3 linked regions of the Lonchura striata genome follow. The protein of the gene in region 2 interacts with the protein of the main gene of each other region in a pairwise test. Links are inferred from orthologs where the notes say so. Each region holds a gene or a part of one and is shown on either strand. Other genes may lie near its edges.

What was found. The genes of interacting proteins can lie anywhere in the genome.
Region 1: the proteins of TOLLIP (region 2) and TOM1L2 interact in binary tests that used the Homo sapiens proteins (3 or more experiments, as listed by UniProt). The link is inferred for Lonchura striata from reciprocal best matches to the Homo sapiens genes TOLLIP and TOM1L2.
Region 3: the proteins of TOLLIP (region 2) and TOM1L1 interact in binary tests that used the Homo sapiens proteins (3 or more experiments, as listed by UniProt). The link is inferred for Lonchura striata from reciprocal best matches to the Homo sapiens genes TOLLIP and TOM1L1.

What each region holds. Positions count from the first base shown.
Region 1 is NC_134618.1:15,628,000-15,635,751, forward strand, and holds the start of TOM1L2 (TOM1-like protein 2), read right to left. Parts: upstream 3,527-7,752; 5' UTR 3,472-3,526; coding exon 3,420-3,471; intron 1-3,419. Other genes in the region: DRC3 (dynein regulatory complex subunit 3), read left to right, coding at 4,960-5,116, 6,478-6,594. UniProt on the Homo sapiens protein: Acts as a MYO6/Myosin VI adapter protein that targets myosin VI to endocytic structures. May also play a role in recruiting clathrin to endosomes. May regulate growth factor-induced mitogenic signaling.
Region 2 is NC_134608.1:45,932,946-45,941,302, reverse strand, and holds the start of TOLLIP (toll-interacting protein), read left to right. Parts: upstream 1-5,255; 5' UTR 5,256-5,423; coding exon 5,424-5,456; intron 5,457-8,357. UniProt on the Homo sapiens protein: Component of the signaling pathway of IL-1 and Toll-like receptors. Inhibits cell activation by microbial products. Recruits IRAK1 to the IL-1 receptor complex. Inhibits IRAK1 phosphorylation and kinase activity.
Region 3 is NC_134621.1:7,132,696-7,140,905, reverse strand, and holds the start of TOM1L1 (TOM1-like protein 1), read right to left. Parts: upstream 3,527-8,210; 5' UTR 3,471-3,526; coding exon 3,413-3,470; intron 3,333-3,412; coding exon 3,248-3,332; intron 1,084-3,247; coding exon 1,005-1,083; intron 1-1,004. UniProt on the Homo sapiens protein: Probable adapter protein involved in signaling pathways. Interacts with the SH2 and SH3 domains of various signaling proteins when it is phosphorylated. May promote FYN activation, possibly by disrupting intramolecular SH3-dependent interactions.

The DNA of each region.
Region 1 (7,752 bases), on a different chromosome or scaffold from region 2:
AGCTCAGAAATCCTTCAGGTACAGCTGCCTGCCTTCCACACAGCCCCACCAAAAACCAACCACTCTTCTCAGGAGAGGACTTTGTTGGAGACACAAGGTCAGCTGAGTGTCCACAGGTCAATCAAAGTATTATAGCAAAATTAGGTGAGGTTTATAATTGGCTTATATTGTGGTGGCTTATATTGTTTCTGCTGTGTCACCACTGGGAATTAAATAGAGGGTACCATATAAGCCAGTCTAAAAATCATGTGAGTTTCCGCCATGAGGAACCTGGCTGCCATTTCAACTGGCACTTTAGATGCAGGAGACTCTATCCATCTCTATTACAAATCCTCTGAGCTCATCCTAGCATTACTTTCCCACATTAAGCAAAAGAGTTAACATAAAAAGCCTGCCTAACTTCAGACATTATCCAGATAAAGAGGAGAAAAGAGAAAATCCCTTGTATTACCTCTCTCAGCTCTCCTCAAACCTTTTCTGACATCTTTGTTCTTACAGACCTGGTATTTATCTGCAGATATTGTAGAGCCCTAATTAAATCTTCTCGTGAACTTCTGCTACTTCCTGGCAGAGAACACACATTCTTGGTGTGCTGATGGACCTACAGGATTTTCTGCACTTCTCCCTTATGGTGAGTGTTAGGCCTTGCTTGAAAACATCACAACTGTGTACAACACAATATGTTTAAACAGAAATACAAAATTATTCCATTTCTTTCAGAGAATGAAGAGAAGCATAAGTGAAAATTATATTCCACAAGCTCATTGGAAAAACAAACTGTGGAAGCACTGGGCAAATAGCAGTGTCTGAGAACAAGGCATGCTTTTGTTTTACTGCTGTCTCAGAAAGGGATAACTGGCAGCGATAGGAGAAGCAGAAAAATTTGTCTTCCAAAATAAAATCTGCAGTTATCTCTTCCCCCTGGGAGTAAAGAAAAACATTGTGAAAGTGCAGCTGAATTTTGCATTAAGGGAAGCTGCACACCTAACCTTATCTGATGGAAGCAGTTCAGTGTTCAAAGTCTCAAAGTTGGCAGCGGCCGCTTGCTCAGCGAGCGAAGGGATGTGAGAGCTGTGAAAACCTTTGCACTCTGAAGTTAAACAGGCAGAAGGCTAAAAAAGCAGATTTTACTCCTCCCTCCCTGCCCCCCAACAATTCAAACCACTGACTGATGCTAAAAGAAGCTGCCAATGAAGAGAGGAGAAATTGCTGCCTGCCCTCCCCAGGCTGATGGCAGAGGCCTGGCAGGGCTGCCAGGACACAACACAACAAACACAACAAAGCCAATTCACTCTAAAATTTTATAGGGACAAAAGCAGACTGTAGTTTATGAAGGTATTACAACACGTATTTTTGGGTATTGTTGTGATGGCCAAACACAACAAAACAAATTCACTCTAAAATCACCTTTCTCTTGAGTTGTTCTCATTATTCTCCTCTGATTCCCCGCACTTCTCTCCCTCAGCAGAAGAAATAAGCAGCCCAGATGGCTGAGGATAAACAGCAAGTTATACATATGCTCCATATAGCCTGACAAAGAGGGCCCAGCCATGCTCAAAGCACAGTGTGAGACTCACCCATGCAAGGCCCTTACACCTCGACCAGGGGGTGTCCCTGCACATGGGGATGAGGAAAGGACTAGAAAAGAGCTTTGAGGCCATGAGCTGATACTCTGCAAAGTTTTCTCCACTATGATTTTCAAAGATTTCCATCATTCCATAAATCAACTTAGAATAGCTAGAGGCTAGGCTATGCACAGCTGTGGGTTATAGAACCACAGAATGGTTTGGGTGGGAAGGGACATTAAAGATCATCTGATTCCACCCCTGCCACGAGCAGGGACACCTTCCACTATCCCAGGGTGCTCCAAGCCCTGTCTAACCTGGCCTGAAACACTCCCAGGCACTGAGCAGACACAGCTTTTCTGGAAAACCTGTGCCAGGGCCTTCCCATCCTCACAGGGAAGGATTTCTTGATTCCTTCCCAATATTCCATCTACCCCTACTCTCTTGCCAGTTTGAAGCCATTCTCCCTTGCCCTGTCACTCCAGATCCTCTCTCTTCATCTTTCCTGCAGGTTCCCTCCAGATATGGGAAGGCCACAATTAGGTCACCCCAAGGCTTCTCTTCTCCAGGCTGAACAATCCCAATTCTCCCAGCCTTCCCTCGCAGCAGGCGTGCTCAACTGAGCATCACCTTGGCTTTGGGACTGCCTGCCCTCCTGCACTGCAGGAACCTGAGCCAGCCTGCTCCTGCAATGTCAGACAGCTTCAATTTCTTCAGGGCCCAGCAGAGAAAAGCAGGAGGCACTGAGAGCCCACCCAGCTGAGGTGAAAACTCAGAGTTACCAAACTCTGCATGAGTGATGCCCAGGCTTTCTCCTTTCTCTTCTTTGCCCCATGGCAACCCAGAGCAAAACATGAGTAGCCATGAAAGAACACGTCTGTGGGAGGGAGGGATCAGCCACAGCAGCCCAGGGAGGCCTTGAGTGGCCACGCAGTGAAAGCTGGCTCAGAATAACCTGCTAATGGCACCAATGCATTACCAAAGCCACAATTCAGCCTCCAGGTTGAAAAACGAGCACTTATTTGTGTCTCTAAACCACATCACCCCCTCGCCCACTAAGAGGGACAGGGAGGTTTCAGTACTTTGGGAAAGAGTGCATCAATGATGGGGTGGTCTGGAAGAAGGCACTCAACTTCAGGAAAAGGAGCTGGGGGATGCAACAGCTTTCCTGCATCCATCTCGACATGGAGTCAGTCTCTTCCCATGGACAGCAGCCTGCTCCCCAGGCCTCCTCTGATCTCTCCATACCCTCCACTAACCCCAGAGTCCGGCACTGAGGCCTCCAGCACTCCCCAAACGCAAAAACCTTCCAGCCCTTCCAAGCCCCCACCAGCCCTGAGATCCCTGCTCCCCAGAGACCCCCGAGAGCCCCCAGAGCAGCCTGGCCACCCCCAGACCCCCATCAACCCTCACCGACCCCCCATAACACCCAAACACCTCCACTAAGCCCCAGAGCCCCTTACCGAGCCCAGATTTCCCCCATGGGCTCTCAGGGACTCTCCACCCACCGCTCCCACAGCTCCTCACAGACCTCCAGAGCCCCCCCAGCCCCTCACAGGCCCCCAGAGCCCCCCACAGAGCCACAGAGCCCCCACAGCTCCTCACAGACCCCCACAGAGCCCCCCACAGAGCCACAGAGCCCCCTCCAGCCCCTCACAGACCCCCCCCCCAGCCCCTCACAACCCCCCCAGCCCCTCACAGACCCCCAGAGCCCCCCACAGACCCCCCCGAGCCCCCACAGCCCGTCACAGACCCCCGGAACGCCCCGCTGCCCCCAGCCCCGCCCGCTGGCCGAAGCCCCCGCTGTCTCCACGGGCTCCCCCGGGCCCCTCCGCGCTCCCCAGGCCGCCGTACCGAGGCTCTGCCCCACCGGGGTGCTGAAGGGGTTCCCCAGCAGAAACTCCATCTTGGGATGACAACAAACAGCGGCCCAGCGCCCGCCCCTCCCGCACCGCGCCCTGACTGACAGCCGCGCGCACCAACCACAGCGCGCTCTGCCGGCCGCGTCCCGTCTCCCTGCGTTCAATTGGACAGCTCCAGGACGCGCGGCAAAGCCATTGGTTAAAAAGCGTGTCCATCACTGTCAAGTCAGAGTCCTGCCCCCGCGGTAGTCCCGCCTCTTTCCCCGCCCTCACTTTGATGGACAGCGAGGACAATGAGACTGCCATTCCTTATTGGGCAAAGCCCTAAACGATCTGTAACATTATTGGGCAGAACGGAACGTCAATCATCAGAGCCCTCTCCGCCCCTAGGGCACGGTCCCAGCGCTGATTGGCTGACACGGATTTCTCTAACTCTGATTAGTCGTTGGCCTCCTCACCCACTCCACGCCCATTGGCGGCTGAGCCGGTCACGTGCCGCCCTTAGCAACCCAGCCGGGCTTCCTTAGCGACGGGCGCTGAGGCTCTGTTGGGAACCGGGAACGGCGAACCGGGAACCGGGAACCGGGAACGGGGAACCGGGAACCCACCCAGACCCCAGGGGACCTGCGGGTGAGAGCCCTGATAGGCCGGAATCTGATCCTCGGTGGGTCCTGGAGCGAGAGGCGGCGGGCAGGGGTGCTCGGAACCGGCGACAAGCGCACATCCCTGGGAGAGCCCAAGGCCAGGCTGGGGCTTGGAGCAGCCTGGGCTAGTGGAAGGTGTCCATGGCAGCTTTAAGGTCCCTCCCAACCCAGTCCTTTCTGTGATTGTACCAGAAAGAGAGAGAGGAAGGTGAAGGATGGATAAATCCAAGGCCGGCTGCTCCTCGGCCTGTACTGCACACAGCCACAGGGAGGTTTGGTTTGTTAATGAAATGCCATAATGAGGACAGACCTCTCCAAACTCTGACATTTATCATCGCTGGCCCATGCAAAAATAAATCAGAACTTACCCTGTAATTATAAACATCTTACACAAGCAAAAGTTTGAAGATTCAAGTCCTTCACAGCAATTCATTAACTCTGCACCATTTGAAAAAGACAAATAGTCTCATTAGGGATATTTAAATTACATTATATAAATATACATATATATATACATAAATAAATATAAAATAATATATAATATATATTATGATATATGATATATATAATGTATAATATATATAAAACATTAGGGATATTTAAATTTCCATGAAAAATTTCTTCACTGAAAGAAGCATTGGAACAGGCTGACAAGAGAAGTTGTGGATTCCCCTTCCCTGGAATTGTCCAAGGCCAGGCTGGATGGGGTTTGGAGCAACTTGGGATAGTGGAAGATGTCCCTGCACATGGCAGAGGATGGAATGAGATGATCTTTAAGGTTCCTTCCCACCCAAACTATTCTGGGATTCTGTAACTGCTGGAAAGAGTAGCTAGGCAGTGATTTACTTTATTTTCTATTCTGTCCTTTAAGGCTGATTTTGTCTCACAATGAGTCAGTTTTTCAATATTATTGAGCCACAAATTATTGATGATGAAATGCTTCAGAAAGCCATTGAAGAGAAATGTCCAGAGGACCTTGGAGATATTGCCAGAGAAGAAAGTCTTAATGTTAAGGTTGTAACAGAGCTACAATTTAGTTTTAAAAGTAAGTATCAGAATATGTACATATTTTGCCTCTTCTTTTGCTAGAAGGTAATAGAATAAGTGGGTAACTGGCAATTAAGCAACCATTATTAACTTGGATTTATTATGTGAAAATTAACATCTGGACTTGGACTTTAGCTCACAGCTGTACACAGGAGCTTCATCAGAGGGAACTTTTGCTGATGAGTGACTTCAAAACTGCTTCACTTCCCTCTTCTCGTCACTGCTGTTCTCATTTAACATTTATATTGTGGTGACACCTACAGGCCACAGGCCTGTTGGGCCCCTCAGTTCGTGGCCAAACCCAACCCTGGGCAGGCTCTGCCACGGCTGGTGATTGTGTGGGAGCTGTTTGGGAGATTTTGGTGATTTACAGTCCAATCTGATGTCATTCTCTGGTCATCCGTAGCATTACCATGGTGTGCCTCTTACTGTCAAACCTGTCAAGTTGTAAACTTGCACACAAAAAAAAAAAAAAAAAGGTAGAGGAAGAACATTTGGCTCAATATTTGAGTATTTGAGGGAGGGGGGTAATTTCAGTAAAATAATGTATGTATGGGTCAATTTTCTTAGAAAATACTCCCTTGATCTGATCCTGCATAGATTTGTTTGCAAATAAAAAATCCAGAGCTGTGTGAATATTTTGGGTGTGCAATTCCTCAGTTTATGGTGCCCTCACTAAATAAGGATAACAGGACAGCAGATGAAATCTTCTGGGAAGCCATTGCAGGGCAAAAGAGAAATGGGAGTGAGAATGTTCTGTATTTCCTGTCACCTTGGTCCTGATACTTTGCTGTGGTGACTAACAGCCTGCCCTTGTGATTCTGTTTTTGGAGGAAACTAAATGCAGGGATATTGATTAGTTCTAAACTGCAGCCTTCACAGAAAAAAAGTAGATTCCAGCTTCCTCTCCTGTGCTGAGAATCCCAGGAGCAGAAGAGTCATTTACAAAAGCAGGAGCTGGGCACTGCTAGACTGCAAATGCAGAGAAAAGCAGAGTCTCATCCCAAACCTCCTGCTTGGAGCTGGAGAGGAAAATGAAGGTCAAGGCCTCCTAGTAGTGGATTCATAAAGGCACTGGAGTGCAGGGCCATAGTCAGCATCCCCTGCACGCCTCGTTGGCCTCGCTGATGAGCAGCGTGCTCTGGTGCAGGACACTGAGGTTAAGTGGGCTGTTTCATTGAAATCTCTGCACCTCTGAGCTCTCCAGGGCACTCATCACACGCTGAAAATCCTTTTGGAGGCAAGACTGGACATGTTTTCCTTGTGCAAGGCAGTGTGTCTGCTAAAACAAAGCTGGCTCACGTGAAAAGCAATTTTCTTTTCTTTTTCTTTCCTTTTTTTTTTTCCCTGTGGCTTTAGACATCCTGCGGATTGATAATCTGTGGCCATTAGAGAATCTGACTAAACTGCAGCTGGACAACAACGTCATTGAAAAGATAGAAGGCCTGGAGAGTCTGGTTCACCTTGTATGGCTTGGTGAGATACAGACAGAGGAGGGTGGATGCCTTTGCAGGTGCAAAGCAATCTGTGATAAACCAGGATGTCACCTTCCTTCTCAAACACGACTGATAGGAGCTTACCTTGGGAAGGCTGTCAGCTGTCTGTGTGTCTCCTTATTTGACTGTCAAATGTCAAAATGCCTGAGTATCAGAGCTGCAAAACAATCCTTCAAATGTTTAAAAACTGGGTTGAATACATTTCATGTGGCAGGAACAGGAAACTGAGGTTTCAAGGTTGTTTCCAAGGTTTGTATTGTGTTTAGGGGTGACTTTCAGGAATATTTATGGAAACACCTCTGTGATTTAGAAGCCTGCATTCTGTTTTCAAAGCTGCTGCAGGCATTCCAAAACCTACAACCCCTATGTCCTTAAGGGCTTGGTGTCATCCTTGTCCCAAGGAGTGCCCATCCTTGTAGCCTTATGTGACTGCTTGCAGCTACACAGATGCACAGCTTAGAGCATTCCCTGGAACTGCAGCCACGCTGCTGGCTGGAATTCTAAATATATCCTCAACATTGTGAAATGTCTAATGGGTTCTTCCACCCAGTTGTTGTCTGCACTGTGCTGCTCCACAGATGACTGAGGCACTTGTGAAACACCAGCTGATCAGTGTAAGCACCGTGTTTTGAAGCACACTCACCTATTTTGTTTGCCCAAAGGCTGCAGTGGCTCAGCTGCTGCTGTACAATTGTCTCAGCCACCCAAGAGACCTCACAGACTGTTTTTGGACTCTTGGCTTGCTCGGTACTAGTTCAAAGGCAAATCCTGCCCTTAGTCATGGTGAGTGTAGGTGTTAGATGTTCTGGCAGGGGAAGAGGACATTTCAATAAGTGAAACAGTGAAAGTGAGCCTTTGCATAACTCCACTGACATGGAAGTGCCTTATCTTGGCCCTGTGGGAGTGACCACAACTGTGGCATTGGTGTGGCAGGGCAGAGTCTGCAAGAAACAAGACAGTGTCAGATTTATCACAAAAATTCCCTCTAAGGGCATTTCCTCACCCTTTGTTTTGTGTTTCCCCATAAGGCAGAAGTCCTTTTCAGGCTGTGTGGACTCTGCATGGACTAACTTCAGCTTTTCCTCTCATTTAAAAGTTTCACAGATAATTGCAAGGAGAAGATGGGAATAAAGGATGA
Region 2 (8,357 bases):
AGCTTGTTTTTAAGCAAACCAACCAACACATTGATTTATTCACAGTTACTGCAGGTAGGTATTTTTGCCAATCAAACATAACAGGTATACATTGTATAACAACAAGAGCAGTTGAGAGGATGCAACTCAATAAAAACAAACAGGTCATCACACCTAGACAAGAATAATGAACTGAAGAAACATAAGATGAAGAGGAACAAGTAGAATAATTGCATGTCAGAAAGAGATTTGGATGTTCACAATGTTATTGTGCTGCAAAAAAGGCAAACCCTTATTGCAATTTATAGTCCATGTTATTATCTACAAAACATTTAGCAATTCTTCAGCTCTTGTGGAAGCAGTCTGTAGAGAGCTAGACAACTAAACTGGGATGAGACACAGCCAATTTTGGACACTTCATGGAAGGTATAGTCCTACTGGAGAAAAAAAAGAGGAATACAACAATGATTATCAGGCTTCAGAAAGGTATACTTGTTAGAAAAGGCTGAAGGAATTAGGATAGGTTTAATCTGACATTCCTCTGGCATTCCTCTGAATAGCTGAACTTCAGAGAAAAGAAATCTAAGAGGTAAAACAATAGCAGCTTTCAAATATATAAAAGGTAATTTCAATAGGAGGAACAAGTGGTTTTCTGTGTCTGCTGTGCAAAGGACAGTGATACTCTGCTCTTCTAACTGTTTGCTCATATCTTTTGAAGTGCTGTCTGGAAACGGACGTGTTACCAAAATAACAGTAAATAGAGTTTTGCACTGCTACAATTTCCCTAGTGCATTAAAAGTACATTTAAAAAATACAATTTGGGAAAAACATGGCAGAACTGGAGAAAAAAGAGAAAGTCTTCTTATGATTGTGTATTTGTCTCCTCCTCTGAAGCAGCTGGTGTCTGAAATTGTTTTCAAGGCACTTTCTCCTCACCTCTGTGCTGAATGAACCTACATAAAAACCTTGCACAAGCTTGATTTGAAATGAAATAACTCCCATTTTGGAATGAACTGTGTGATGAAGATGTAGTTATAAAATAAATCATGATTCAGCTCTAACTTTCAATTTTGTCCTTATTAAGTTGCTCAACCAGGTGTTGAAGCCAATAGAATTTGCTTTTCCTCTGCTGGAAAGCTATTTTGAGTGCAGTGTGACTGAAGAATAGCCACTTATTCACTGCCCGGCAGTGCTCTCGGCTTTGCTGCTAGAATCCCCCACAATTGCTCCAACAACGCTTTTGCCAATACTCGTCTGGCTCAATCAGCAGCTCTAACACTGGGGTACAAAATTCTGCAGTGCTTGTGAGGGTGGTAAGCTGCCTGCTGTTTAACAGCTCTGCTTCATGGTGTGGTGTCAGGAGGGAGGCAGTGCTGATTTTGATCTTCAGTCTGTATTTGTTTCTCTATTCAATTTATTCTCTTCTAGTCTCGGTGCAGGATAGATCCTGCACTATCCTGACTGAAATTCCTGGCTAATGCTGCCGTGTGCTGCTCCAGTGTTTCATGTTTCCTCCATGATGGGGGGTGCAATTCTTCTGCATGCCAACTGGACTTTGAGGATTAATTAAAGTTTGCAATGCACTGTGAGTACCTTGTACACCATTGAAGTGGAAATTATTGTTTGTTACAGCCAGTCCGAACACCATCTGGGATTTCCATGTTCCTGTTTCAGCTCAGTTGTATGTTACCAAGCTTGATCTGGCACCATGAACAAAAGGTTAGCATTGCAATCTCTAGTTCTGTGTTTGGTGCTGTTTCCAGCCCCCATGTAAGTCTGCATACATCCCAACAAACTGTGCTCAGCACCCCAGGACTCCAAGAGACTTTCTATAGCTGCAAACCTGAGACATCCCGTTCCTTTTTCTGCACTTGCACTCTGGTATGGGTTGGATCTACAAAGCAGTGGATCCCTTTGTCCTTCTCCACTGTCACCCCTGCCTACCTTTAACTTCAAGTCAGCTTGGCAAGACTGTGTATGGAACGATGGTGGAATTGGGCTCTGCACTTCACAAAAGATGTTCTTCCCATGCAACAGAACTGTCCCTTTTTTGTGGCATCTGAAGTACTATAGGGACATGGCAAAAAAGGGCTAATACTGCCCAAGATCCAAGCCAGCAGTGGAAGTGATGCAGACCACCCACAGTATGATTAAGTTTTGTAGGTATGTTCATAGTACCTATGAAACTTAACCCAAAACCTGCTTTACCACTGTGAGATCCTCTATGGGTCCAGGCGAATATCTCTGAAACAGACAAATCTCAGCTCTGATTTATTACTCTGCTTTTATGCACCAGCTTTTGCACAGCTAAGAGGATATTTTAAAACCTTCTTGTGACTTCACTGTTTTTGTAAATCACGGTAAGCCAATGGTGTTAAATGACTGTGGAAACTCCCCCAGTATCAAGCTAGCTACTCAAAATGGCATAAAATGTAATCATTCAACACACTCATGAGCTTTCCCTGGGGAAGAGATGAAGTAACAAGGAGTTTGAAGTTTACTTCCTAACTGAAGGTTTCCAGTGGGTATCCTACCCAAAACACTGGGAGGCCTGACCTTCTGAAGAATGCACTATTTTCACAGAGGTGTAGTTCTCTCACCACACTAACTGCTGCCATTTACATGGTTAAAGTGCCATCTGACAGGTTTCAGAGACCGACCCCAATGCCAAGTGCTAAATAAACATGTAATGAAAGTTGGACATTATCCACCTGAACTTTGCGCTCCCTCGCTTTCCTGGTAGCATCAGGCTCTCCCCAGCCTTTGAAGTGTCTCTTCTGAGTTTCTGAACAAGCACAGAATTAATTTGGCAGGAATTCTGCAAGGGCAACATTATATGCATCCCTCTTCTCCTCTGGCACCTTGAGACAGTGGTTTCTGATTTTATGAAGAAAGCTTAGGCATTATCTATGCTTTCACATTCTGGAGCCGACCTAGGGAGAAATGTCTATTTCATAATTTTCAAGCAATCCCGTGTATTTTTTTGCCTCCACACATCTACAACCAGATGTCTGGTTTTAATCAGTTTTTACCTAATGTCTTCAGAGATACTAAGCTATTAAAAATTCATAAAAAGAGGCAAATGGGCCTATCACAAATCTGAAGGGTAGATAAAGAACTGGGAACAACAGAGAAGAGACTCGAAATGAGAATGAAAGAATGATACAGGAGAAACTGATGTCTAAATGTTTATTACAAGATAAACGCAATTTATTGTCATTACAGCTTCTTGATTACCTTTCAACCTTTTCTTAACGATGCCCATATGTTGCAAATAAGAGGGTTTTATGGCTTTTGTTCTCTCACCTTTCCCACGGCTCCCATTCCCGCTTCGGTTGCTGGGCTGACAGCGGACGCGCTGCCGCCCGTGCGCCGCCGGCTCGCGGCGGCCCCGGGGCAGCCGCCCCGCTCGGGGGCCGCCTGTCGTTCCCGAGACGTGCGCCAGGTGGCGGTGCCGCCACCGCCGCGCCGCTTCCCGGCCACCGGCAGGCACCCACTCAGGACCGGGGGAAGCTTCTTTAACAAATCACTCAAAGTATGAATGTTGCGTAAAGGCAAGTTATTCGAGGTTTCTTGAGAACAATAATAAAACGGGAAAATAAAAAAATTAAGTTGGAAAGTGGCAGCACCGTCAGGAAGGGACAATGCTCGCTTTAGTCATTGCACATCTCTGTATGGGGAAAACAAATCTCAAGAGTTTCTGAATTAAAATTACAATATTTTTTCTGTTTATACAAATTTCATAGAGGCAATAATGTCTTCCATCTTATTTCTTTGAAATTATTGTGACTAGACGAGGTCTTGGAGTGAAATCCATGGTGAGTAAAACTGTAACTGCTCATGACTCACCCAAAACTAATTTTGTAGCTTGTGTGGTTATAGGTGTCAGAATACCAATGAAGCTTGTTAACACTCTTTTCCTTCCATCGTGCACTCATGATGTCAAGACTGCGACGTCGTAATAATGTCAAGACTTTGTATCCACAGAGGAAGACTTGGGGGTGATGGTTGATGACAAACTGAACATGAGCCAGCAGTGTGTGCAAAGCCAGCTGTGTCCTGGGCCACATCAAAAGGAATGTGACCATGAGGGAGAGGAATTGATTCTCACCCTTTACTCCACTCTTGTGGGACCCACCTGGAGTACTGCACACCCCTCTGGTGCCCCCAGCATAAGAAGGATATGGAACTGTTGGAGCAAGTCAAGAGAAGAGTCATGAAAGTATAAAGGAACTGAAGCACCTGCTCTACAAAGACGGGGTGAGAAAGTGAAGGCTGTTCAGCCTGGGGAAGAAAATGTGAGGAGACCTAACAGCAACATTCTGGTATCTGAAGGGGGCCAACAGGGAAGCTGGACAGGGACTCCTTGTAAGGAGCTGTAGTGACAGGACAAGGAGTAGTGGGTACAAATAGGAAGAGTGGAAATTTGCCCTAGAAGAAATTCTTTACTGCAGGGAGGGCTGCCCAGAGAAGCTGTGGGTGCCCCATCGCTGGCAGTGTTCAAGGCCGGGCTGGATGGGCTCTGCCTGGGATAGTGGGATGTGTCCCTGCTGGCACAGCAGGGCTGGAACCGGGTGATTTCTAAGGCTCATTTCAACCCTGCAACGTCCTGATTCTGTGCAGTAAAAAAGATGAGGCTGTTCCCACTGCAAGAAAATGTTAGTGGAGAGTGGAGGCAAAAAAAAAAAAAAAAAGGGTGCTATATTTGGAGCATTCCTAATTGCACTGTTCTATTTCCAGCTGCCGAAATCCGCGCTAGAATTTTAATTAATAGCTAAAATTGCGCAGCAGATCCTGACAACAGGAAACAGCCCTAACAACGGGAAACAGTTATGTTATTTAAACAGGCTTTGAAATAATCAGATTTTATCTCCCGAAGCAGCACTTGGATGAATATTAAAGCTGCTTTTGTTCTCCCGGAAAGGGCTGTGCTTGATCAGCAAGCTCTGGGAAGCCCACCGGGGCCAGGCCAGCAGTGAATGAGTCGTTCCCTTCCGCACAGGGCTGGCAGAGGGGCCGAGGAGCGCCCCGCGGCCCCTCACGGCCCGCACTGCCCGCGGGGCGCTCCGGCCGCGCGGGAGCGGCGCCGCCGGCACAAGATGGCGGCCTGAGGCGCCGCGCCCGCCCCGCCTCCGCCGCAGCGCCGCGGCGCCCCCTACCGGCCGCGCCGCCCCCGCAGCGCCGCGCTCCGCTGCGGCGGCCGCAGAGCGCAACAGCGCACGCGCGGGACGGCTGCCCGCCCCTCCCGGTGCGCGCAGAGGCGCATGCGCAAGGCGGCGCCGCTGCGCTGCCCCGGAGGCGGGGCTCGCGCGTCAGGTGACGCGGGGCTCGCGCTGAGTGACGGGCGGCGGAGCGGGCCCGGGGCAGGGAGCGGCACCGGCGGCCTGGCGGGGCGGGAGGAGGAGGAAGAGGAAGGGTCTCGGCCGCGGCCCCGGCCAGGCGCCATGGCGACCACCGTCACCACCCAGCGGGGCCCGGTGAGTGCTGCGGGCGCGGGGCCCGCTCGGGGGTATCTCCTGTTACCGCTCGCCGCGCGGGGCGGGCGAGGCCCGGCTTGCAGACCCCGATGGGCCCGCCCGGCCTCTGCCGGCGCCGCTGTGGGAGGGAGGGAGGGAGGCTCCGTGTCTCTCAGCCTGCCCCAGCTCCGGCCGCGCCAGAGCGGGAAGAAAAGCCCTCTCATCTCCTCCAGGCTGCTGGGATGCGGGGGAGGGAAGTCTGCCTTGTCTCCCGGCTCCCCGCCTGCCAAGAGGCTTTGGGGAAGGGGAGGGGAAAGTCCCTCCTAACTGCGCGGAGTCCTTGCGGCGGCTCTCCTGCACGTTCTTTGTCCACAGGCCTTTTCAAGGGGGGAAACGGTTACACGGAAAGCCTTTCCAATGAGGGAAATGCTTACAATGAAAGCTAAAGGCCTTTCTCTTGGAAGCGGAGCTCGGCGGGCACGCTCGGGCCGCTGTCCCTGGAGCTGCCGCCGGCAAGCTCCAACGGCGCGTCCCGTGCAGGATGTAGGCGTGCGGGTTGGACGGGAGCTGAGCCGTCTAAAACCGATTTACCAGCCTTCTGGGAGCTGGTGCTGGCAGTTTATTGAGAATATGTCACTGTCTGGTTTTGCCCAGGGATAATCATACCTCACACCGGGATGTTCTGCATATGAGGTGTTACAACATCAGCTTTCAACAGATGTGCTGTTCCTGTCTGTTCCTCCTGTCTGAAAGGATCTGGTAGTCATTGACAGTATGATATTGCTTATGGTGAAATGAGGGGTTTTTAAAAAGCAGTAAATGTACACTGCTGTATTTTATTATGTAGAAACAGCTACTTAAAAAAAATTATGCAGCCTTGTGGAAAGAACAGTGAGGTGAATTACTGCTATTTGAAAAACTGCACTGCTGTCACTTTTCTTATGACAGTGCCTTATTTGTTTTATTTATCATAACTGCTTAGACTTTCTTGAATGTTGCAAGACATCTCCTAGATGTCTTGTTCTAGAATTTCCCAGGTAGTCCTGTATAATCTATTGGCAATCTTTTGTTTCCTAGACTTGACTGAAGCCTGACAAAAGGCATATGATAATTTATCTTATACAGCTTTGACTTTCTGGGCTTCAAGTTTAGTGTTTTTTTTTAATGTCTTGCTGACATTGTTGAACATCCTTTTCTTCCTTACCCACTTCAGATATTTGAATGTTTTCAAATGAGTGAATAAATTATGCAATATTAAGCAGGCATTCACAGCTGGGAGTGTTGATATGGTCCATCCCAGCCTTTCTTAATTCTTTCCAGAGAGGAAAATAAAATTTACTGGTTTCTGTGTGCAACTGCATTACAAATGATTAGCCACTAAATGGTGCTAAAGGATTGGGAACCACTTTTTTCTTTGCTGAGGGAGAGAACAGTTCAGTCTTTCTGTTTGAACAAGCAAGAAAATATTCAAGGTTGTTTCACGTGGGTGAGAAACTACTGTGAGTGGGCTGTTGCCAGTCTTACACCTGCACTTTCTAATTGTGATGCTGCTTACTTGGTGTGTAATGAAAATTTTTTAAATTAAAATTTGCTGTTCAGTTTTTCCGATGAAACAGAATTCATCCTGTCTGTTACTTTAAATACTCTGCTAGAATACAGATATCTCTGACCCTTTTCAGGATGTTAGGGAATTAGTGCATTTTCACATTTGTAATCTTGTATGAACAAATCAGCTTTTTAAATCTCAACTATAGCTGAATATGCAAGGATTTCTAAGTGATACCTTTTACAAGTAAGATTATTAATAAACAGTTTGACCAGGCTTTAGATTAAGACTGAGCCACCAAAACTTTATATTTGTGATTCCTTATCTAGCCAGTCATAACCAAAATTACTCTTAATGGTTATTCTCCACGGTTATCATGGTTACCATGCTGGCAAATGCATCATGTCCTTCCAGATTAGATTAATACCAACCTGGGACTGCATAGACTTCTGCTCCTAATGTCCCTAATAAACTCTACTCTGATGAGTAGTGACAGCGTTTTTTTCTTGAGACTCTTCAAAACTTTTTACAGACCCTTGTCAAAAGTCCCTTTCCAACTTTCTTGTAGGCTCCTTCAGGGACTGAGAGGTGCTCTGTGGTCTCCCAGGTGGAGCCTTCACTTCTCCAGGCATAGACACAGATGTCATATGGACACTCATTCTGTCTTTTATTTTTAACTCATGCTGGTATACCATAGTTCCTGCCATTCTTTGCAGGTATTTATTGCCCCCTCCTTTTTCCCATGTGAAATTTGCCCCATTTCAGTTTAATGATTGACATCTCCTTTCTCTTTGTGTTGCATCTCGGAAGACAACCTTTCTCAATGACTTCTTGGCAGACACCAGAAAGGTGCTACAAAGGTGCATTCTAACTTTCTTGTATTCCAAACAAATCCTCAGCCTGGCATTGCAAGTGCTCCAGCCCTTTTCATAGGTCTTCTTGGTGGATCTTTGCTGGTCTCCCTGGAGTTCATTGTTTTTCATGTACTGCTGGGCCCCAAATTGTCAGTGTTCCAGGTGTGGTCCAGCAATTGTTTCCTTTCCTCAGCCCATTGGCTGGGTTCTTGTTGATCCAGTGCTGTTTTCTGTTAGGATTCATTGCTGCAAGTGTCCTCTGCTCATCCATGCTTTGCTTGCTCTCCACCTCTGTAGAGGTACAGGCAGTCCTGCTGGTTGTTCTCCAGTTTGTACCAGTGCCATGGATTTTTCTGGTCAAAGTACAGGTCTTTGCCCTTGTTGAATTTCACACAATTCCTGCCAGTGAATTCTTCTGTGTCTCTAGTTGGTCCTGTCCTAAAGTATACCAGCCATTTCTTGTAAAATTTAGTGTCAGCCTCAAAACGGATAAGGATGCCTTTTGTCTTCACCTTTTGTTGC
Region 3 (8,210 bases), on a different chromosome or scaffold from region 2:
TGTCGCGAGACACTTGGGCAATTGCTAAGCAACCTACAATTTGGCACTATCCATAACCCATCTTCTTTAATCACTTCTCAGCACATCTTGACATAGATTATGATTTTGCACAACAAATACCAAACCCATGAGTAACAGTACTTCAAGTGATGCAGATAGGCCACTAAAACCTCAAAAAAGGAAATGGTGAAGAAAATACTTTTAGCCGATTAACGAAAAATTAATTCTCAAGAACTTAAAATGCAAAAGATATTACTCTTGTCATAGTAGAACCACTGGTAGTCAAGAGTAATTCAAGTCAGAAATTCAGGACTTAGGACAGTATTAGAACTTCCTGCATTAACAAGTAAATCTTAAATTGGCTGAAATCACAACAGCTCCCCAAACCCTGGGGCAGTTCAGGAACACTGTCAGATTCTAGAGACCACATGTCAAGTAAGGATATTCCCAGACACTCCAACCTTTAGCCATAACATCTGAAATTCACACAGCTCACTCTGCCTCTTGCTCCCTTATGTAACCCACCTTTTCCTTCAAGTTTATCATTTATTTGTGATAACATTTCCTTTTACCAAGCACGTATCAGACATTCCACCAATGCTGCACACCGTGCTTAGTTTGACTAAGATCAGCACCACAAGGTGAGTAATAGAATGGTCAAATGTAGCTTTTATGTAATATCCTAACCTCCGTGTCTTTCACAAACAGGTGGGGCTCTCACAGGACAGTCGCTGGAGCAAATAAGAACTATCCTACTTTTACATAGAACAAGTCACCTCCCCACCCATCCCCCTAGCCCCCCTCACCACCAGAATTTGCATCATCCAGGAGTCCATGGAATGCCAGCAAACCATTTGATCTGCACTGTGGCAGTGCTGTGCACACAAACAACAAAGACTGAAAACATCCTGGAGAGTTGTGTCAGGGATAATTTGCATGCCACCTTATCGTTTAGACTGTTTGCCTTCTTAGTGTCTAATTAATATAAATATAGCTGTACTTACAGACAAGGTAAGCCTGATCTCCTTGTGGTTACAGTTTTTTGAAAGCTTCTTCTTCAGTGCTTTAACTGCATCTTTAGGTCTGTGACAAGAAATGAAAGAGGAAAAGTTACCAGTGAAATTTTCTAGTTCATAACTTCATCCAAGAACCAAAAATATCAGCCTGAGATACAAGACTAAATCCACCCCATGTTTACACCCACATAAAACCAGAGCAATTGCCCAACTGATTTCAGCAAAATCTCTTCAGCACTGAACTAGAGCAACAAAGCAGTGAATCAGGTTTGTTACAGCAGACTGTGCATTACTCCAGAGACTTGTGCAGAGAAATGAAGTTATTCTCCTCTGCAAAAGCTGCTCCAAAATTACATTTTCCACTGTTTTAGAACAGAATTACTTATCTAGCTTTTATTGCCATGAAAGGAAATATCAATTGCCAGATGTAGCAAGAGTTGACTGGCAGTTTGCCTGTATGATGCAATTAGAAAATATTCTCCTGGGAGTGTTGTCAGGAGTAGGGGTGTCATGGGTAGCTTCCAATCTTATAATTGCAGGATGCACTTAACTCATCTGAGTAACTACCACGGATGGACAACCCACTCCAGCCCAGAGATAGGGGCATTTCTAACCCATCCATTTTCATTTCTATATATACTCCCCGTATCTTTTAACTATCTGTGTAGGAGGAAAAGGGTGGAAGATGGTATCGAGGTTATCACATGTGGGAAGCAGTTTTGCCTCATCAATATGGACTACCTATAGTGTACAATTATTAGGGCCAGCCCAACACTCATGATCAACATAAACAAGATGTCCTAACGTCTCTTTAGGATCTCTCTAGAATCTAAGATGGAGCAAGAGGCCCAAATACAATGTTTCACTAAAAAAATAAAAAGTAATCTTTGTTGAAATAATTTCAAAGTCAGTGAAATTAAGTGGGTGTTTACCATTACTGCATCTCTTTGTCTGAAGTGCTATACTTCATGAGAAAAAGAGAAAAAACAAACCAAGAGACATGTCTCTATTTTTCTTAATCATGCATCATACCCAGGCACATCAGTAGAGCATCAAGTGATAGATGGAGGCACAGGAGTGGAGAAGTTTCCCTTGCAGAGAGCTGTACTATAATCCCACTCCTGCTTGCTTCCCTCACTGAAGCATCTGGAAATGCTCTGGACAGGGGCTGGATATTGCATTAAAATAACCATTTCCCTAATTAGATGCAGCAGTTCTGCTGCTCCTACTATCCTGTTACAGACTGTGACTAGTAGTAGCTGCCTAGGAGGAAGTTACAAGGAACTCCCCTGCAAGCCTAAGCTGTGCACAAAAGGAAACAGTTTATTAAAAAATGGCTCGGTTGCATGGAAACTTTACATAAAAACTAACACTGAAGGCCAGAGCGTGTTGTTGCTTATGGTAATAACCAGAAGGAAGTCATTATTACTGACCTTTCAAGCACTAAGAACTACGGGTGAGAGGAGTCCAAAACAAGGAAAGAAAAGTTGATACATTAAAAAAGACACCTGTGCAGAAAGTAAACAATACCTCATTGCTCTGGAGAAAACTCTTTAGCTAGTATTAAAATATGCCACTGCTAGAATGAGTTCCTGCAATGCAATTCTGAAGCAGATCTTGCATGAGAACAAGTTTCCTTTTTTCCCCTTTAACAGGTGGAAACAAGGAAGTTCAGAGCAGCAAGTGGCTGAGCAAGCCTGGACGTGGCCGTCCGGTGCTAGAGACCAGCTCAGTCCTGGGAGCACACCTGGAAGGGATGGACCCCACCGCAGGATCCCAGCCCACCTTCAGCCTCCACCCCGGCTGCGGCACAGCCCGCCGGAGACCCCGCACGGTGGGGAGGGAGCTCCAAGGCGAAGAGCCTACAGAGTTTTAAATAGTGTTGTGGGCAGCCAAGTGCTCAGAGCCTTTTTCCAGGTGGGTTTGCAGAGCACAGGGACAGCCCTTCAGCCTGACGAGCAGTACGGGTTGTACAGAACACGTCAGACCCAGATAAGAAATCTTTGTCACCAGTTTCTCTAGCGAAGAAATCTCTGTCACCAGTTTCTCTAGCGTGTGTCTACGGGGAAGAACCTCCGAGCCTAATCCCGAAAAGCCCTGGTGGCCCCGCGGCAGGCACAGCTTTTGCCCGGAACCGAAGCTGTCCCTCTGCGCTATTCGTTTCGGGACGCTCCACACCGGCTCCCACGCCGGCCGCTCGCTGCCGCGCTGCCCCCGAGCCGCTCGCTCACCCCTCCTCCGTGGCGTTGATCAGGTCGCAGATGTGCAGGAACTGTCCCCACTCCTCCGTCTGCAGCGAGCCGAGCGTCGCCCGCTCTGCAAGGCCAAGGGGAGCCGAGGGTCAGCGCCCGGCGGGGGCAGAGGGGCGGCGCGGGGCCCCGCTCCGGGCTACTCACCGACCAGGCTGCCCACGGCCGTGCCGAACGCGTCCCTCGGAGCCTTCCCGAACGCCATGCCCGCTGCCGGCAGCGTCCCGCGGGCTCTGCGGCCGCCCCGACCCGGCCGCTCCCTCCCCGGCCCGGGCGGAGCCGCTCCAGGTGCCGCCGCGGCCCCTCCGGCCCGGGCACCGCCCCGCAGCGGGGCCGGCTCCCGCCCGGGCCTCCCCCGGGACGGGAGCCAGCCCGGCATCCCTGGCAGCGCTGCCCCCGGCAGCCCTCAGGCACAGCCTTCCCTCGGAACCCAAGCCGTCCTTCACATCAGCGCCCTACGCCGGCTCTCGATGTCGCCCTGCCCTCGGGCGACCCGGGGCCAACGCCGCGCCCCTCACCCCGGCTGGACCTAAAGCAGCGCCTGTCCTCCCCGGGGCACGCAGCCACGGGCTCATTCTCCTGCCCCGTGCGCAGGATTTAACCTGCGAGCCCCCCGCTCATCGGCAGCGGTGGCTCAGCCGGCTCCCAGGTGGGATTGCACGGCTGACTCCACGAGGAATTTGGTTTTCGGTGAGGCGAAGCTCAGGAACGCGCTCAGAGCCGCTTCTGGTGCCCGCACCTCGCTGCGCCCCATGTGCAGACCCGGGTTCAACCTCTGCATCGCCCCACGTGCAGACCCGGGTTCAACCTCTGCACCGCCCCACGTGCAGACCCGGGTTCAACCTCTGCACCGCCCCATGTGCAGACCCGGGTTCGGCCCCTTCACCCTCCTCATGTGCAGACCCCGGTTCAACCTCTGCACCGCCCCATGTGCAGACCCGGGTTCGGCCTCTGCACCGCCCCATGTGCAGACCCGGGTTCAACCTCTGCACCGCCCCATGTGCAGACCCGGGTTCAACCTCTGCACCGCCCCATGTGCAGACCCGGGTTCAACCTCTGCACCGCCCCATGTGCAGACCCGGGTTCAACCTCTGCACCGCCCCATGTGCAGACCCGGGTTCAACCTCTGCACCGCCCCATGTGCAGACCCCGGTTCAACCTCTGCATCGCCCCATGTGCAGACCCGGGTTCAACATCTGCATCGCCCCATGTGCAGACCCGGGTTCGGCCTCTGCACCGCCCCATGTGCAGACCCGGGTTCAACATCTGCACCGCCCCATGTGCAGACCCGGGTTCAACCTCTGCACCGCCACATGTGCAGACCCGGGTTCAACCTCTTCATCGCCCCATGTGCAGACCCCGGTTCAACCTCTGCACCGCCCCATGTGCAGACCCGGGTTCAACATCTGCATCGCCCCATGTGCAGACCCCGGTTCAACCTCTACACCGCCCCATGTGCAGACCCGGGTTCAACATCTGCATCGCCCCATGTGCAGACCCCGGTTCAACCTCTGCACCGCCCCATGTGCAGACCCGGGTTCAACCTCTGCACCGCCCCATGTGCAGACCCGGGTTCGGCCTCTGCACCACCGCTGCTCAGCCCCGGGGCTGCCCCTCAGCCTCCCGACAGGCGCTTCCAAACCCCCACGTTCTTCCCTGATCCGCACATGTGAAAAGAATACGAGCAAAGATCTCAGAGAAACGGGAAAGATTCCCAACGGCGCCTCCAAGTTCCATTGATAAAGTCACCCTCTTTGTGTCCTGCAGGAACCTCCTGTAACACACACCTTTCCACGTGTGGGACGTTCTTGCTACAATTACTGTCAATGACTTCCATTGTGTCGCTTCATCACAAGCCTATCTCACACCTGTACAATACTTGGGAACAAACGATGAATGAAAATTAAGATCTCAGCTGTAATTTTTGTTGGCTGACAGCTGTAATTATTTCAGTATCAAACTGAATCATATTAACTAGCCTTTGAGTAGAGCTTAATGAGTCATACAGTCAAGACACGATGTAAGCAAATAAATTATTTGCCTGACATTAGAATTTAATGGATTAACAAGCTCTATTTGCACTAGGAGAGTTTTTCTTAGGATGAATTAATTTTACTTTCTTTTGTGGTTTGTGCAACTCTGTGGCCCCATCTACTGGATGGTTTTAATGCGAATGCAGGAGAAAACCACATTTTTTGGTGTACTTGCAAGTATCTGTATGAAAAACAAGTTATTTAAGAACTCTTAGGCAAATTGCTCATGTACCATGAATGTAGGAATCTTTTTCTTACTCAGTCTGTAGTAAATAGGTGGAATCCATCATGCAGCCCAGTGAGGCTCCATTTGAGACTGTTCTAATGAACACATCTCGATTTTCCACACTTCTGTTATCCTGTTATTTGGCTAAAAGCCAGACACCAGCTTTCAAAACAGGAGTCTATTTATTTTTATTTGCAGAATTTTGAAAGCTATCCTCTAAACATAGGTGTTTCATTAATTTGCTCTTTAACACTGGAACTGTAATGAGGGACTATTTAAATTAGCCCTTGTTAAACCTGCAGCACAAGTCAGATCTTGTTTCAAAGAGCATATTTTATTGAGCTAATCAGGGGAAAAAATTCCAGTAAAGTATTTTTTCATTGGAATTTACTGATTAAAGTTACTAATTGAAATCAGCTTTTGGTATAGATCTGTGAACTCCTAGTGGGCTTCAGGTTCCGCTTGAAGCAAAACCTCTCTGGCTCTTCAGCCTTCTCAGGACTGGAATCCTCAGAATTCATGAGGATCAAAGAGTCCCAGGAGAGCCCCAGTGCACTTCTTACAATTTTACTGTTATTGAAGAGATAGTATTACATTTAATTACTACTATTAATGAATGGATATTTTCTGCCTCTTGCAAGCACATAGAGTGTTATAAAAAGGAAGAGGTTAAAGAACTTCTCTTTGCAAAATGTTTGAAGCAAAAGTGTTAAGTGGCATAGCTTCTGTCTTTCTCAGCTCAGCTAACATGTATTATACCAAAGAAGCAGGATTGATAATGTGGTTTCATTTGTACCAGAGATTTTGATGATGTTATGTCAATTTCAAATAAAAAAAAACCAACCCAAATTGCTATAGCTATGCAGAGATTCTTTTTTAATTTAGTTTTGCTGGCTTCACATTTTAGTTATATCGCATTAATTATTTTTAAAGTCACATCTTTACCTTATTTATCTTTCAGTCCTATTTTCAAAGAATCACATACATGTACAGAGGACATTGAGTGAAATACTTAAACCGCTGTCATTCATAAACTGATTTATGGTATTGACTTCTACCTGCTTTTATTTATAAATATGAAAATTAAAAGCCATTGCAATGATTTTTTAGTTTAGTTTAAAAATAAGATATTCTTAAAAGGTCATTATTTATCAGACATTAAGTGAGGAGCTGCAAAATATTCTCTCCTCCATCTCCCAGGGGCTGTATTTACTCTCAATGCCTTCACCAGGAGCCTATTTTAGTATGACTCTTCCTTGTTATCCAGTAAAAGAGATGCAGTCGGTGGGATTCTCACTGTGGCTCATTAGACCAGATGCTGCTTACAGCCTGTGCTGGGAGCTTTACTTGAACAAACAGCTCCAGGGTTATATCAAATCCCTTCTGCATCATCTCCATTAGCTCGTTGCTTCAGATAACAGCAAACCTAATCAGGAGCTATTTGGGCAAATTCAATTAATGTTTGGGACCCAGTTGCACTAAGAATGCAGAGCTGCCCCCAAATATCTATTTAAGTAGTTACTATTTTATTAAAAAAAAAAAAAACTAACAAAAAAAACCCCAAAACAAACAAACAGAAAAAGGAAGGAATGTCGAAATGCTGTTATGTCAGCATCACATTAAATTTAATGTGTAGAAAAGGAACAAATCTGGCAGTGCCAGAGAGAGGAAGAGGCCTGCAGAGGGCAAGCTTGGTCAAGGAATCTCATTTTTCATGCAGCAGCTACTTGAAGTGAAGAGTGGCTGAGGAAAATTCCCTCTCAGCCATATTGGCTTTTCTCTTTTACTGAGCTCTAGATACAGCTTGTTAGCATTGCTCTCTTGCAATTTGAAATAATTGAAAAAAAAAACCTCAGTAAGTGCAATGCCAAGCAATCAAAAGGTAGGAGAGGGTCAGGGATTGTTGTGGATGAGAGAGGTTTTCTCACACATGACCCTGCTGCATTTCCTGGCTCACTGCCCTAAGCAGCTCCCACTGCCCTGGGACTCTCAGGTGAAGTTAGACAAATCTGTATTTCTCCCACTCCTAAAACACTGAGAATTTCCAATTAATTTTTTTTTCTGTAATAATACACTACAGGAGTCTCAGCTAATTTGAAACTAAAATCATGTCTACCTTGTTTTACATCAGGCTGAGGCTAGAATCTTGCAGAAAATAAGAATTTTACATCTATTCAGGGGTTTATTTTTCTGGTTTTTGTTTGTTTATTGTTGTGGGGTTGTGTTTGTTTGGGGTTGTGGCTTTTTTGATTTTTTTTTTTTTTTTTTTTTTTTTTCCCCAAGATATGTTACATCCCTCTGGGATTTTACCCTCACCATGTGGTGTTAATCCAAAAACTTTCCTCTCCTCCCTTTCAGGAAACAACTTTCCTTTTTCCCTGGATCAAAGCTAGAGATAAATATTCTGTTGTATATTCAGGAAATTTACCTAAGCCTTTTCTGAATTTCACCTTCTCAGAGACAAAGATGCATCATCCACTTCCCTGAGCTTCTTTCCAGAGGTGTATTTTACTCTAATGGAGTCTAGATTTATAAAGAAATTATGAAATTATTATTATACTGCAGAATATGGTGAGTCTTGACTAACATTTTCTGTAGTAGGGTAAATATTAAATATATCTTATATAGATATATATAGGTAGAATCCTCAGCTTGACTATCACAGGAAAACTCACAAAGAAAGAAA